2 linked regions of the Mus musculus genome follow. The protein of the gene in region 1 purifies or fractionates together with the protein of each later gene. This does not show direct contact. Links are inferred from orthologs where the notes say so. Each region holds a gene or a part of one and is shown on either strand. Other genes may lie near its edges.

Region 1 (7,734 bases):
GGGCCATGTAGGCTTGGGTTGAGTGTCCAGTGTCCTGGTAAATTGTGAGACAACTTCCTGCCAGTGTCTCTCTGCATGGCCAGGGAGGGCTGCAAATTCTGATGTTCTTGGAATCAGATGTCCTTTTCCTTTAGGATAAAATTCTGGGTCTTTTTTTGTTATACAGGGCATTGAAATGGCTGCTTTTATACACTTTAGCCAGAGCAGTTTATTTATTCTTTGGTCTTTAGGAAAATATTTATTATTTATTTATGCGTATTGTCTACGTGGATGTCTACGCACAGAAATGCAATTACCCATGAAAGCCAGAAGGTGTTGACTCCCTGGGGCTGGAGTTAGAGGTATCCTCAGGGTGCTGAGAGCCAAACTCCCATTCTTTGAAAGAATAGAAATTGCTTTTAACCACGGACTACATTTCTCTAGCCTGTAGCTTTGCTGAGACAAGGTTTCTCATAGCCTAGACTGGCCTCAAGTTCATTGTGTAGCAGAGCCTAGTCTTAAACTTCTAATCTTTCTGCCTCTACCTCCAAGTGCTGTAATTATAGCTGCATGCCACCATGTCCCAAGCCTATAGATGGGCTTTGAGGGCAATGACTCCTAAAATCGTGTGCCCCTGCATGTGCAGGTGGGTTTTCCCATGATGCTTTGTTTCTACTATCTTCTCCCTGGGATCCATGACCCTGGTCTGGGATGGCTCTCTGCCCCTGTTGGTTGGGTGAGCTCCTCTTCTAACTAGATACCACACAGAGCTGGGACAACCCTTCTCTTCCCACAGTCTAGCACCATTATCGATGACCACTCCCTGGACAGGGAGGGTTGGGAAGACAAGGTTAGTACAAGATTTCCCGTCCCAGAGCGGCCTAGCCCTGCCTTTGGCCTGTTAGAACTTCCCAGTGTCCTTCAGTGCATGCAGGGTAGAATGTAGGACCCTTGTTAGGGATGGTCTCTGTGACTCCATGGCACAAACAGGTACAAATGCTTCTAGCCAAGTGATGCCCTTACATTCCAGGAGACAGGAATGTGTGTAGTCTGCTTCTTGCACAGAGCAGTAGGGCTGGGTGAATGTTTCCTCCCTTCCTAACGTCTTTTCTTGTCTCATTGACAGCGCTACTAGGCCTTTGAGCTATGACAAAGACAACTGTGATGTACAATTCCACCCAGAGAACTGCACCTACAGTGTGGTGGATCGGAAGAACCCAGGGAAGACCTGTCGAGTTGACAGCTGGACTATGTAAATGTGCTTCGTGTGGGCCCAAAAGTGGAGTAACATTTGAACCTTGTATGATTTAAATTTACCAATCATAAGCTTGCAAGGAGGTGACCTGTAATCCCAGCACTCAGAAGGCAGAGGCAGCATATCTTGAAAAACTCAAATAAATAAAAAAACAAACAAGTAAACAAGTAAACAAGTTTGCCAACCATATTTGTATTAACTTAATGCATGTTATACAACCAAACAAATCAACCCAACAATACCAGGTACCAGTTACAGCATCTTTCCTGAGCTCCAACAGGTGTCATGCATGTGTGCTTTCCTATGGGGCCCACATCCATTTCCACCACTTCTACAAATAAGGCTCTTCTGCCTGCATCTTGTTTCTGGTTTAGGCTAGAGAAGTGGTTCAGTGGTTAAGAGCCCCGAAGCTCTTCCAGAGGTTCTGAGTTCCCAGCAACCACATGGTGGCTCAGAACCATCTGTTTCTGCTTTACAATGGAAAAAAGCATGTGTGTTCATGATGAAACCAGACTTCTTCTTTGTCCCTGGTACTCTCATTTATCCTTCCTTCCAGTTACTTAGGTACCCCCTCTTTATCGAGTCCCCACATCACACTGTGTTTGCATAAGGTTAGAACAGGTTAGAGATACTGGAGAAGGGGCTCTCTAGACCTCACGCAGTCTGACAGGAAACTCAGAAGCCGGACTTCTGTGGGTGGTGGGGCCTAGCTCTAGGGTCAGTTAGGTGTGGCATACAGACCAGCTAAAATACACTGACTTGAAACTGTAACATTAATTCTGACATTTATTTACTCAATATTTAAAAAAAAATGTAGCATGTTTTTCCTAAGTTATAAAGCCCATCAGCCTTGTCTTAGTCACTGTTTTATTGCTGTGAAGAGACACCATGACCATGGCAACTCTTACAAAAGGAAGCATTTGCCTGGGCCATCTTTACCATTTCAGAGGCTTTGTCCATTATCAGCATGGCATAAAGCAGGGTGGCCTGCAGGCAGAAGTAGCTCAGAGTACTACATCCAGATCCACATGCAGCAGAAAGAAAGAGTGAGCCACTAAGCCTGGCTTGGACTTCTGAAGCCTCAAAGCCAACCCCCAGTGACATACTTCCTCCCCCAAAGCCACACCCACCCCAACAAGGACACTCACTCTAAGTAGAGCCATCTTCTCATCAGTAAGCATTCAAACACGTGAGCCCGAGAGGGCCATTCTTACTCAAACCACCACAAACCCCAGAGGAAAAAAAGAGTTTATTTTCTTTATTTGCATGACTCTTTTTTGCCTGCATATATACATCTGTACCGTGTGCACGCCTGGTGCCCTTGGAGGTCAGAAGGCACTGGAACCAGGAGGTATGGGTGGTTGTGAGCCATCCTGTAGGTGGCTGGGAACCAAAACTGGGTCCTCTGCAAGAACAGGAAGTGCTTTTTTTTTTTTTTTTCAAGACAGGGTTTCTCTGTGTAGCCCTGGCTGTCCTGGAACTCACTCTGTAGACCAGGCTGTCCTCGAACTCAGAAATCCGCCTGCCTCTGCCTCTGCCTCCGGAGTGCTGGGATTAGAGACTTACTGATAGGCACGAAAATGATCCAGACTAAGGGCAGGGAGTGTTACTGCATGCCTCCACGTTGAGCTCTAAGAAGACTTTGCGCAGGCGCGGAAGGAAATCTCGCGAGACTGTCAGAACACTACCGAGAAGCGTGGTAGGGAGGCCATCCTATCGCGAGAACTCTGTCTTCAGGGTCCGGATCCTTCCACGGCTAAGTGTCTGGGTCGGTCTAAGGTCCGCTCGGATCACCGGAAGGAGCGCTGCCAGCCGGTAAGGACGAGAGTGGCCGGCGGGCGCGCTTCCTCTTCTGCCCTGTGCCCTTCTTCGCTCCGGCCTGTGGCCTGTCCTGCCCTCCCCTCCATTCTTCCCGACCCTCGGGTCCGGGACCACCATCCCACCTGCCTGCACGCGGGGCCCAATGGCCCTTCCCTTCCCCAGGTCACGTCTGCTGTGATCGCCTCTCCAGTCCCCGCGTCGCGCCAGGCCAGAGCTCCTCTCCCTCCCCTCGTCCCGACGCTACCACTTTTCCTTCATGCCCAAGCGCTGGATCTGTCTTCTCTCCTCTGTCCTGTCGACATGTTTCGTTCCTGGGCCACGATTGCAGCCTGAATGCTTCTCTTCCATCCCTTTCCCTACATTGCCCTGACTGTCCTCTGGGTTTATAGCGGTGACAGCCCTGTTTCTCTGGTCCCAGGCGGGCCTGGTTTCCATTACTGACCCAGTGCACATTTGCCCCTATTCCTAGTGGTTTGGCAAGGTGGAATGACTTCTGGAGGCCCACTATCCGTTTCCTTCTCCCAGCAGTCCCTTTAAATCGTTTGATTCGTCCCTTCAGCTGATGAGAAGAGAGAGCTTGCAGAATCATTAATTCATAGCTCGGGCGTTCATTTGCTATATGCTTAGGGTACTGAGGATATAGTAATGTAAAGAAGTGGACGTGCTCCCGGCCCTGATGTGACTTAGCCCTTGCGGTGGGAACAGTATGGGTTTAAGTGCTACAGGCTGGAACTTGGGAGGATGGCTCAAGAATGACAAGTCAGAGGGGCTGGAGTTATCTGACCCTCCTGCACACAGCTCTCCTGCTAGTGTTGTTTAGTAGGTAAGGGCCTGCCACCCTGGCGTCCTTTTGGAAGGACTTGACTTTCCACCCACTTGGTAATTTGGAGTATGGTCATAGACCTTTTGAGTTACTTCCCTGGGTGTGTATGGGACAGGTAAGGCTGTTGGTTCTCCGTTAGCATCCCACTGTGATGTTTCTGAACTTTTAAAGTACATTAGAACATTGGAAAGAATTTCATCCTGTGTGACAAACAGGAGACTAATTTGTACTGCTCAGCAGGTCGCTTGATTTGCTCTGTGGATTTTTTTGTTTGTTTAAGAAGAGTGTCAGATCCCCTTACAAGCCATTGTGAGTCACCTGATGTGGGCCCTAAGAACTGAACTCTGGCCCTTTGATAACCACTGGGCCATCTCTCCAGCCTGGTTTGTTTAGTTTGCTTGAGACTGGCTGCAGGGATCCTGTTGGCTCTGCTGGGTTTACAGACGTACGTGCCACCACACCCAGGTGATTTGCTCTTTGCAAGATTTACTCGCCCGAAGAATTGTTCTGCTAAGTGAGATAATGGGTAGCTGCTGGCACTAACAGTCCCTGCATTTAGATCTCTTTTTTCTTTTTTTTTTACCTCCTCCCTTGGGTCTTTGAGCCTTTCGGAAAATAACCTAGACATTTAAAGTTTTCAGATTGAAGTTTGATGATGACGAACGTGTCTGTCTCTACAGTTACGTTATTCTTTTGAGGAAAATTACCGAACTACAGATGAACTAAGATGCTTCTTAAAGCATCTTGTATCTAGTTTTAGAAGTTAACTTGACTCCCATGGCCAGTTTATGAAAGCAGTGCAGGTTGCTTGTGTCCCAGGGATCTGTATGTAGGTCTTATAGAACTCTGGGTGTCCCGGCACACACCCCTTCTGCACTTGAGAGTCTCTCAGCTAGCTTTCTGGGCCTTTGCCCACACAGTGTTAACACACCGGTCAGTACTTATAGCAACTCACTGAGCCTGTTAGCCACCTTTTTTTACCTGTGCTTCTTATTTCAGAAATCTATTGTTGTCTGTGAATCAGTGGCACAAACGTTCTGCTAGATGGCAGATTCACCATCGTCTCCACAGGAACAACACCACTGTGCCTTTCTGTTCAAGACCTTAAATACTTGAATGACTACATAAACCTTAAACGGCCCCTTCAAAATACCTGGTGCAGATGAGGGGTTTAGACTCATACTAGATCATAGCCAAAAGGCTAAGAGGCAACCAGACTCAGACTTTTGGGTGTAGAAGCCTGTGACTACAGGTATCCTATTTAACCCTGTTAAGCCTATAAGAGTTGCTAAGTTGAGCTCTTCTGCTCTAGGTGTGTCACCAGTGGTACTCTTGTTTCTATGCTTGTCTCTTAGAGGGGCTGTCAGTTGTCCTCAGCTTGCCTTCTGTGACTGTTAAATCTAACACTTCAGACATCATTTGTAAGCTTATCGTCTGTATACCTGAATTAGATAGATTCACAGGCAAGTGAGCTAAATAATTACTGTGTAGGTATTCTGTTTTTAGCTAGCATGAACCACTCATCAGGTGCTCATGACTGTCTTCCTCCAGGTTGGCTTTGCTTGGCTTGATTGCGCGGTAGAATCAACATGTTTTTCTGGGGGACCAGGATTGCACTTGGGGCTTTTGAGCTTGTAGTTCCTCCCATTTGGCATTGCCTTGATTGCCCTACAGACCGAGCAGTTTTGGTTTAGTGTTGAGTGAGTAGGTTAAATGGGCTTAGCTTGTGTCAGTAAGTATAGCATAGTCTTTTAATACGTGGACAATTACAGCTTCCAAAATAATTCAGGTATGTTTTGAGTTTTACTTTAGCTATATTGCTAGTCCCTCAGGCAATTTCTGTGGTACTTACTGCAAAATCTGAGGGGGGAAATGTTGAGTTGGCTGTAAATACAGTGCACATTTTAACCAACAAGCCCATTGTTATTTTGAGTTTGTGGAACTAAGATTTTTGGGTCTGGCAGTTTTAAAAACTGCCTTTCTCAGCACTCATGCTAGGATTGTGATTTCTGTGGAGACAACCCTCATCAGTTCTGTATTGTTTGAAAACAAGAAATTAAGTTTTTCTGGGTGCTGTTGCAAGGGTTCTGGAAGTCCAGAAGGTCTACCAAGAGGCAGAATACTGAGTTCAAGACCGGCTTGAACTACAGGAAACTGTCAGAAACTAAGGGCTAGGGCGTGGCTTAGTTAAAGTGTTGTCTAGCATATACAAAGCTCAGCGTTGTACCTCCAATATTGGGGGGAAAATGTGTTGGAAACATTGTCCTCTTCTAAATTACTTTCCTAAATTAATACTACAGGTTTTAAGGGGACAGCATCAAGTTGATTATGTTTATAACACAAAGATTTATTTTGCAGCTGCTCTGAATTTGACCATTAACACATTATTTATTCATCCATTAATAAAAGATGTATTAAAGCACAGGTTGGTTCAAGACCAAGCATTGGTACAAGTGCTGCGGGTCCTTTTCTTATTTAGGCCAACTCTGTTGCACATACAGCACGCGGGGAAGGTTGTTAGTGCCAAGGTACAGATGATCCCAAGCTGTGTGTATAGTGCTGTGTGTTCTAGCTGGGAGAGCCTTCAGGGTAAGAAAGCAGGCCTGACAAGAGAGGCATGTATTCAAGCATTGCTTCTCAACCTGTGGGTCTTGACCCTTCGAGGCGTCAATGACCCTTTTGTAAGGGTCACTTTAGAGCATCAGAAAACAGATATTTATGTTATGATTCATAACAGTAGCGAAATTAGTTACGAAATAGCAATAAATAATTTTATGGTAGGAGGTTGAGAACCACTGTGTTAGCGGGTTCTTACTGGAAACCTGTATAGATAGTAGGCACAAGAGGGCAGCATGACAGTTCTATTGCCTGGTAATATTGAAGAATCGTGTATTTGACCAGGAAAGGCTTTCTATTGCTTATAACTTGAAAAGCAGACGGCTAGAAGGGACTAACGTGGCATGCTGGCAGAAAGAACTTGGAGAACCAAGCTGGACAAGACAGGGTGGAAAGAGGGACTTCTTAGTTTACTAAAATGGAGATGTCAAGACTCAGACTAGCTGTATTTCCCTTCCCCTGGTATTTTTGGACAGGGTCTTGGTGTATATAGGTGGCTTTGAACTCACTAGCCCAGTATGGGAAGGGTGGTTTTCCTGCTGTAGCCTGCTGGCATTACCTTGCTTAAATGTACCACTGACATGAAGTACAGAGAGCTGTACATTTTTCATTCATTTAATCTTTGTATCTTCACCAAATGTGCTATCCAAACAGGATATCTGGAACTAGCTGTTTCTGTCTTCCTTTTGTAATGAGTGTATGACTTGGGATCTCAAACTGCGTTTCAGGGTAAAGGAGGTGATGCTGATCTGGGATGTTTGAGTCTTCTCTCATGGTTTTGCTTTACTCTTAATGTCCACAAAGTCACTTTATATGTATAGGAAATAGAAAATAAGTGTCTGATGGGGCTCATACCTGTAATCCTAAGTACCTCCAGAGTGCTGAGTCAGCTCACAGGCCCTTCCCTCCACTCTGTAAGGCTGGAGGGATTCTGACCACACCTCAGGAAAGAATGCTCTAATTAGTCTGAGTGAAGCCAAGTTAATGAGTTTATTAAGTAGAGATAAGAGATGTCCACCCTTCTGTTCTGGCAGTAGACATCAAAGGCATAGGTGAAGGCGTCTTCAGAGTTCTGCACGTACTTGTCTTTACCATGATTTATGCGGTATTGCTCAAAAGTTGTGATTATGACAAAGCTTAAAGATTAAGTAAGCAAAGTTTAAAAGTTGAGTAAAGTTCAAACATTACGTAAAAAAAAAAAAAAAAAGCTGGTTTAAAGAACTCGTGTTTGTAAATGGCT
Region 2 (7,354 bases), on another chromosome or scaffold:
GAGCAGACTCCTAGATGCTGGATTACCAGAGGTGCCAGAAGGGAAGAGGAAGCCATTTTAAGGGGACTTGGTCTTTTGTTCCACCCTCAATCCCCCAGTCTGAGATTCTGCCACTCAAATTTGTGTACCTCTCTCCTTTCCTTGTCCCCTGTGGCTTCCGGGTTTTATCTTTTTCCACCTTTACAGCCTTGTCCAGGCCTGTCGGGTTGAAGGCCAGAGGTCAGGTTCTGGAGCACTGTGGTTAATGAGTAACTCTGACCCCCAAATCAACAGACCACCGCAGACGTCAAGTCAGGAGAAAGATACGTGTAGGCTAGCCACTCCAGAGCCGTACAGCTGCCTGACCACACAGGGAAAACAGACCACAAGCCCCTTAGCCGGGGGACTTCTGGCTGTCAGCCCGGGTGTGGCCTGCCGCCCGCCCCACTGCCTAGCTGAGCTCAGCGTGACTCAGCAGAACTGGCCTTGCTACCCCTTCCACTAAGGGCCTCAGCAGCACATTCTTCCTGCTCCGCGTGGCTCCCTTGACCCATCTTACTGTTTCTTCCTTTAGCCCCTTTTCATGATTGGGCTCGTTTCCCTTTGCTCTCTTCCCAGGCTTCTGAGATTAGACCCTGGTATGAGCCCGTCCTGTCCTCAAAAGTCCAGTTGGGCCTTGCATGCCCCAACTGTTCTGCGTAAGACTGACTGTCTGTTTCTGGGTCCTGAGTTCTTGCTCTCCCTAACTCTCGGGCCTTTTGATTCCAAAAGAGCAACCTGCAAGGAGGCTTCTGGACCAAACTCCAGGAAGGAGCCCAGCAATTCTCCAAGCGCCATCATGCGTGTCTGTTTCTAGAAAGACAGGTTCACTGACACAGACCCAGACAGACAGGCTGACCAGAACTCCAAAGTCCTGTCTGGGCCTCCACATGTCACCTTCCAGAGCACCCGAGGGAGGTGCACACACGGTAACCCAAGGCTCTCTGCCCACTCCAAGCCCTCAAAGGGCTTCACGACCTCCTGGGTTACAGAAAACAGAAAAACAAGCAAACAATCTTAGTTCCTATGGTGAACCTAAAACCCTATACTTCTGGGCATCCCTTCCATTCCCTCAAGGAGATCTCTAGAATCTTTGGAATACCAGACTTCCTCATGACGTGACATATCCCTTCATTGTGTGCAATTGGACATATGGAGGTTCCCTTTGCATTTACAGACATTACCCCACACTCAGCCCATCCCCAGATCCATGTTCTCAGGCCCCAAAATTCTCTTTTGTGAGACACCCAGAAAAGGACCTCGAAGTCATCCCCTCCCCAGGGTCTCAGTGACCCGGAGCCCAGAACCCTGCGACCCCTCCAGGTTGCGCCTCCGGATCCGGACCACCGCCCCTCCCCCAAGCCTCCATTTCACAAGGCCTCGCGCTCCAGTCCCGTGACTTCATCTCATGGGACTGGGTGGGTGGGGAGCGAGGTTCCCCTCAGCTCCGGATTGGTCAAGTATACTTTTCCGTCTCCGCCTCACGCCACCGCCGATTGGTTAGTCTCGGGCCTGGGGCACCCCTCCCTCCGGAGGGTCAACATGCTATAAAAGGAGCGCTCCTTGCCCGGGACTTAGAGCAGCGCCTTGGAGGTCCCGTGGATCTGTGTCTTGCTTCAACAGTGTTTGAACGGAACAGACCCGGGGATTCCCACTGTACTCGCTTCCAGCCGCCTTTACAAGTCTCTCCAGTCGCAGCCTCCGGGACCATCTCCTCGCTGCCTTCAGCTCCTAGGACCAGTCTGCACCGTCTCTTCGCGGTTAGCTCCTACTCCGGATCAGCCATGACCTCTCAGATTCGTCAGAATTATTCCACCGAGGTGGAAGCTGCCGTGAACCGCCTGGTCAACTTGCACCTGCGGGCCTCCTACACCTACCTCTCTCTGGTGAGCAGCTCGGGGTTGCCTTCTGAACGGGGGGGGGGGGGGGGGGTCCATCACACCCACCCTCCTGCGCATGCGCGGGCCTTCTTTGTTCCATGCAGGGCAGAGACTGTGCTCCGACCTCTCCCTCTCCCTGCGCGCTGTGTACATAGTAGTTTTGTCTGACTGGAACTCGCTGGGCAGACCGGGCTGCCCTCGAAATCTCACACGTACTGCCTCTACCTCTTGAGTGTTGCGATTGAAGTTTACAGTGTGAGCCGAGCCACCGCGTTCCGTTAACTCGTATTTGTAACCTCCCGCAGGGCTTCTTTTTTGATCGGGATGACGTGGCTCTGGAGGGCGTAGGCCACTTCTTCCGCGAATTGGCCGAGGAGAAGCGCGAGGGCGCGGAGCGTCTCCTCGAGTTTCAGAACGATCGCGGGGGCCGTGCACTCTTCCAGGATGTGCAGGTAAGAAGCGGGGGTATTGGGCACTACCGAGCATGTGCGTTTACTTGCCATCCCCATAGTTTGGGCATCCGGATAGACGTCTTGGAAGGGAGTGGTGGCAGGACTAGTGTAGACAATAGGAGTATGTAGAGCAACTAAACCCACCAGGATGTCAGAAACTGGAAAATGGGGGTAATTACAGAATACAGATGAGGACTGCTGGGCTGGGGAGAGGCGGTGTCTCTCTAGCTAGCATGGAAATCACAATGTAGACCAGGTTGCCTCCTATCAAGAGATCCTCCTGTCTTCTCGCCCAGTCTCTCAGTGGTGGGATTAAAGACAGTATCCCATTATTTTTCCCCACTGTGCCCACTTTTCCTGTGCAGTCAGTTTTATATTGGCTGGGTGAAGGATGTAATCTAGGCTTGATATTCTTGTGTGCAGAAGCCATCTCAAGATGAATGGGGTAAAACCCAGGAGGCCATGGAAGCTGCCTTGGCCATGGAGAAGAACCTGAATCAGGCCCTCTTGGATCTGCATGCCCTGGGTTCTGCCCGCGCGGACCCTCATGTAAGTACCTTGCTAATCATTTCTTCCCTTCTCTGACAAAACCTAGACTGTTGTGTGTTGGCTTTCAGCTCCCAATAATTTAATCCTCCTGCCTCCCGAGTGCAGATTGCAGAAGCACCACACACAGTACTGAGGACACACCTACCTACCTACCTACCTGCCCTTGAGGGCAGGATTTTTTTTTTTTAAAGCTTCCTGCTCACACCTGTCTCTTAGAACTCGGTGTCTGATGTCTCTTCCTTCCTTTACAGCTCTGTGACTTCCTGGAAAGCCACTATCTGGATAAGGAGGTGAAACTCATCAAGAAGATGGGCAACCATCTGACCAACCTCCGCAGGGTGGCGGGGCCACAACCAGCGCAGACTGGCGCGCCCCAGGGGTCTCTGGGCGAGTATCTCTTTGAGCGCCTCACTCTCAAGCACGACTAGGAGGCCTCTGTACCTTCCAAGGGGCTCCCCCCTCTGCTCTGCACCAGCCCGCCCTGGGACCTCCACCTGAATGAACCTCTCAAGCCACTAGGCAGCTTTGTAACCGCCCTGGAGCCTCTGTCAAGTCTTGGACCAAGTAAAAATAAAGCTTTTTGAGACAGCAGCTGGTGTTTTTTCTATATATGTGGGAGGGGTGCACGAGAAAGAAGAGGTTGGCTGTATGTACTCCTGTTTTTTGTGGGAACCCACATGTGATAACTTACAGCGATCTCTGTGTGGTAGTATCTGCCTTTTCATGTGGCAAATCCAGGTCGTAGGAGTCTGTAGCCTGTAGCAGTTTGCCAGTCCTTGGTTTATGTTACTGTGCAGGGAAGTGAAAAGGCTTAAACATCCAAGTTCAGAAATGAGTTAAACATACAAGTAGAAGGCCAGGAGGTGAGCAAGCTGAGCCCTGGGTGCTGGCTGAGCGAGGGTGGGGAGCCAGGGTGTCTTGCTGGATTCCGAACTAGATGCTGGGCCCATCAAAAAGAGGATGTGAAACTTGGGACCATTGCCCAAATGGGAACTAAACCATTGCAAAGGGGTTAGAAACATGGGAAGTTGGTGGGGTGGGGGGTGGAACACCGGACAATACTGCTGTGTCAGCTCACACTGGTTAAAACAAGTCCAAGGGTCGTATGAAGCCACATGATAGGCCCTTGGCTCAGTATTATGCCATGGCTCTGGGGAAGCAGTCATGTGGACAGGAAGATGACCCAGCACTACAGGTTTCTTCTAGTCAGGCCACTCCACCCCTAAAAGCATGAGATTGATAACGGGAGGGTTGGGGGTTAGAGCAGTAACTCCAGTCATGCACAGGTCACTGAGGCTAAGCAGGGAGAACCTGCTAAAGGGATTCTGGCAGCGATGTCCACGTGGGAAACAGCATTGAGAAGCAGGAACAAAGTCCTGCGGCTGGAATCCAGTTTCTCACTGTGTTGCGGGGACATTCTGCTTAGGGACATCTGTCCCGGGCTTTTCACTTTTTCAGGCTAGATCTCACCAATTGCTCAAGCTGGCCCCAGAAGCTCTAGTCCATGTAAGCTTTGAGCTTTGGGTCCTTTGACCTGTGCATTTGTGATTTCCCCAAGGGTCCCCCATGTCGGCCACCGTCTACCCAAGGTCACTGGGGCCAGTGTTTGCCACTTGGATCTCAAATCTAAGCAGTCAGATGTACCTTTCCTAACAACAGCACGGGGACCTCAGAACAGTAACCCAGATCTGCACAGAGTAGAAGTCTATGGAGCTCGTAAGAGCAGAACCAAAATCTGGGGGAAGCTGGCACTCCTGGTAATGCCAGCTCTTGAGAGGCTGAGATAGGACTGCTGTGAATTTGAACCATCTGGGGGGGGGGGGGCAAGGCAAGATCCTATCTGTAAAAACTAAAATACAGGACTGGGGAAGCAAGAGAGACCCACCACACCACAAGAGCTTATGTCCAGCCACAGTTGGCATTCTTAAATACAGGTGTATTTTCTTTTTTTTTTTTTCATCTCTAGACACACTCCAATCACACACCTTCTGCCCTCCCCCTCCCAAATGCAAACCAAAGGCACTGGGCCAGACACAGCACACGTGAGGAGGGGCCCGCCCATTCACTGAAGCTTGCAGGCAGAAAGGCCTCGAGGTACATGTGGGGCTTCAAGAAGCCGGTGGGCTCGGTTTTGTATCAGGAAAGGGGACCGGGGTGCAGCACAGTGACAAAAGACTCCTGATTCAGCCACTGGGACCCAGAACCCAGTGGTTTCACAGTGGGCTGAGCACTTGTGGGGTTGACAGACATTCTGCCCTCAATGGAGGCATTCCCTAGAGGGGACACTGGACCAAGGAAAAGAAGGTCTGGTCCAGAAAAAAGGCAGAAAGGTGTCTGGTCCAACTCCGCATGCTCCTTTGAAGAACACACCCAGGGAGGCCAACCTTGCAGCATGTCCCAGCATCGCAGTCGTGGGTTGAAATGGAGGACCGTGAGCATTCCACCACCTTTACTTTGCTTTTGAGACAGTGTCTCATGTTGCCCAGTTTGGCCTTGAACTCCCTATGTAGCAGAGGATGATGGCCTTTAACTCTTGATCCGTCTACCTCTACCTACCGAGTGCTGGGATTACAGATGTGTATCACCGCACCAGGTTTATGAGGTTCTAGAGTTAGATCCCAGGGCTTCGGGCATGCTAGACAAGCAATCTGTCGACAGAGCTACTGAGCTACCTTGCAGGCTGATTTTCAATTATGTTAATCCCTGAAATGTCCTAACTCTGAACTTGGCTGATTCGGGAAGCCACACAGAATCCAACATGAGGTGGTCCCAGAGGCAGGCCTGAGCAAAGCATACTCTGTATGATTATAGGATCAAACGAAGAAGCCACAGCCTGGAAGCCAATAAACCAGGTGTCCTAAAACCTCTGGCATTGAAAAACAATGGCAGATGCCTGGCCTCTGGGACCCAGTCTAAGCCTGGAGACTCCAGATCAGTGCACAAAGAATGCATCCTGCAATCCAAGAAAGGCACGGCGGCGTGGAGTGCGGGAACTCCAAGATTGGAGCTCAAGGGCTGGAGTGTCTGAAACAGAGGTTAGGCTATGGACCACACTGGGTAGGGGTCCCACTCAAGAGTCTGGAGTGGGGTTCAGGCACCCTCCCATCTGCATAGGCCCTCTGCGAGAGGAGCACTGGACAGGCAGGGAATGGGATGGGGGTGGGAGCTTAGTTGCGCTCCTCACCCAGGGAACTGGTAGGACTCAGGGGCTCAGTGGGTGTGCTGAGTGAGCTGGAGGGCCCAGTGTCCACCGAGTTGCTTCTCTTGCTGCCACCTGTGGAGGAGGAACAGGAGGCCCTGCGTGGCCACTCAGGTGCCCGGATGTTGCGGCGGTCCTTGGCAGCCTCCTCTTCCTCATCATAACGCTCACTGTCTTCCCCCAGGGGTCCATCCCGTGGCTCTTCCTCATCCTCACTCTGGTGTGGGCTGGAGTGTCGAGACAGTGAGGGCGACGGCGGGACGGAGGCTGGTCGTGGGTACCGGTACCCCTGGGTCTGCATACCCAGAGCAGGCACAAACCAAAATGAATGGGTGCCATTTAAGTCCCTAGAGGTGTCCACTAACTGTCAACCCCAAACCAGCCTGCCCCAGCCCTTCACTCCTGGCCCAGCGTCGATCCCGGCTCCACTTACCGCATCTACCTCATGGGGTTCATAGGTGAAGTGGTCTGGAAAGGCCTTGGCCAGAGCCATGTGGCGCGCAGACATGTAGTACTAGACAGGGAGGGCAGACAGCGTCAAGGACAGAGGCTACACACCTGGCTTCAGGCAGATAAACCCCCAGCACTTTTTTGTTTGTTTGTTTGTTTGTCTGGTTTGCTTTTTGAGAGTTTCTTTGTGTAAGTCCTGGCTGTCATAGAACTCTGTAGATCAGGCTGACCTCAAAATCACAGAGATCTGCCTGCCTCTGCCTCCCCAGTGCTTGGGATTTATTCAAGGCCATCAATGTCCAGCCACATTTTTTCTACACAAGCCCAGCCACACACCCCTCATTACTGGTGGACACGAGGCAGGGTCTCTACCACTGAACCACTTCTCTGGTGGATTATAGTTAAGGGTCTAAAACCTAAAGGCACGCCCAGCTCCCCTGCTCCACCACTGAGCCATGCTCTCCACCCGTCACTGCTGGAGTCCCCAGCAATCTTCACTTGGTAACACTGGTGACTTTCCTGCCTCATCCTTCCAAGTAGCTGGATGACAAACCTGGGCTGGTGGGTACCGATGGCCACACCTTCTTGTATTTTCTGTTTTGCGTTGGGAATGTTACTACGTGTCCCCTAGCTGGCTTTGAACTTTGAGCCAGGCTCCAATTGCTATACCTTTATACAGATGAGCACACTGGGCAAAGTTATCTCATCTCTCCTATGCAAATGTTCCTGTGCAAATGTGAATGTTCCAAGTGAACTAGGCATGGACCATGCTCTAGTCATACCTTCCTACAGGGCAGGTGAATTCT

The links.
Region 2: the proteins of Ncoa4 (region 1) and Ftl1 purify together in Homo sapiens (co-immunoprecipitation; 3 studies listed by BioGRID and IntAct, counting the BioPlex papers as one, with this or other methods). This does not show direct contact. The link is inferred for Mus musculus from reciprocal best matches to the Homo sapiens genes NCOA4 and FTL.

What each region holds. Positions count from the first base shown.
Region 1 is NC_000080.6:32,156,962-32,164,695, forward strand, and holds the start of Ncoa4 (nuclear receptor coactivator 4), read left to right. Parts: upstream 1-2,925; 5' UTR 2,926-3,049; intron 3,050-7,734. Other genes in the region: Msmb (beta-microseminoprotein), read left to right, coding at 1,106-1,235. UniProt on the Homo sapiens protein: Cargo receptor for the autophagic turnover of the iron-binding ferritin complex, playing a central role in iron homeostasis. Acts as an adapter for delivery of ferritin to lysosomes and autophagic degradation of ferritin, a process named ferritinophagy.
Region 2 is NC_000073.6:45,454,080-45,461,433, reverse strand, and holds Ftl1 (ferritin light chain 1), read left to right. Parts: upstream 1-1,547; 5' UTR 1,548-1,802; coding exon 1,803-1,904; intron 1,905-2,203; coding exon 2,204-2,350; intron 2,351-2,773; coding exon 2,774-2,899; intron 2,900-3,150; coding exon 3,151-3,327; 3' UTR 3,328-3,490; downstream 3,491-7,354.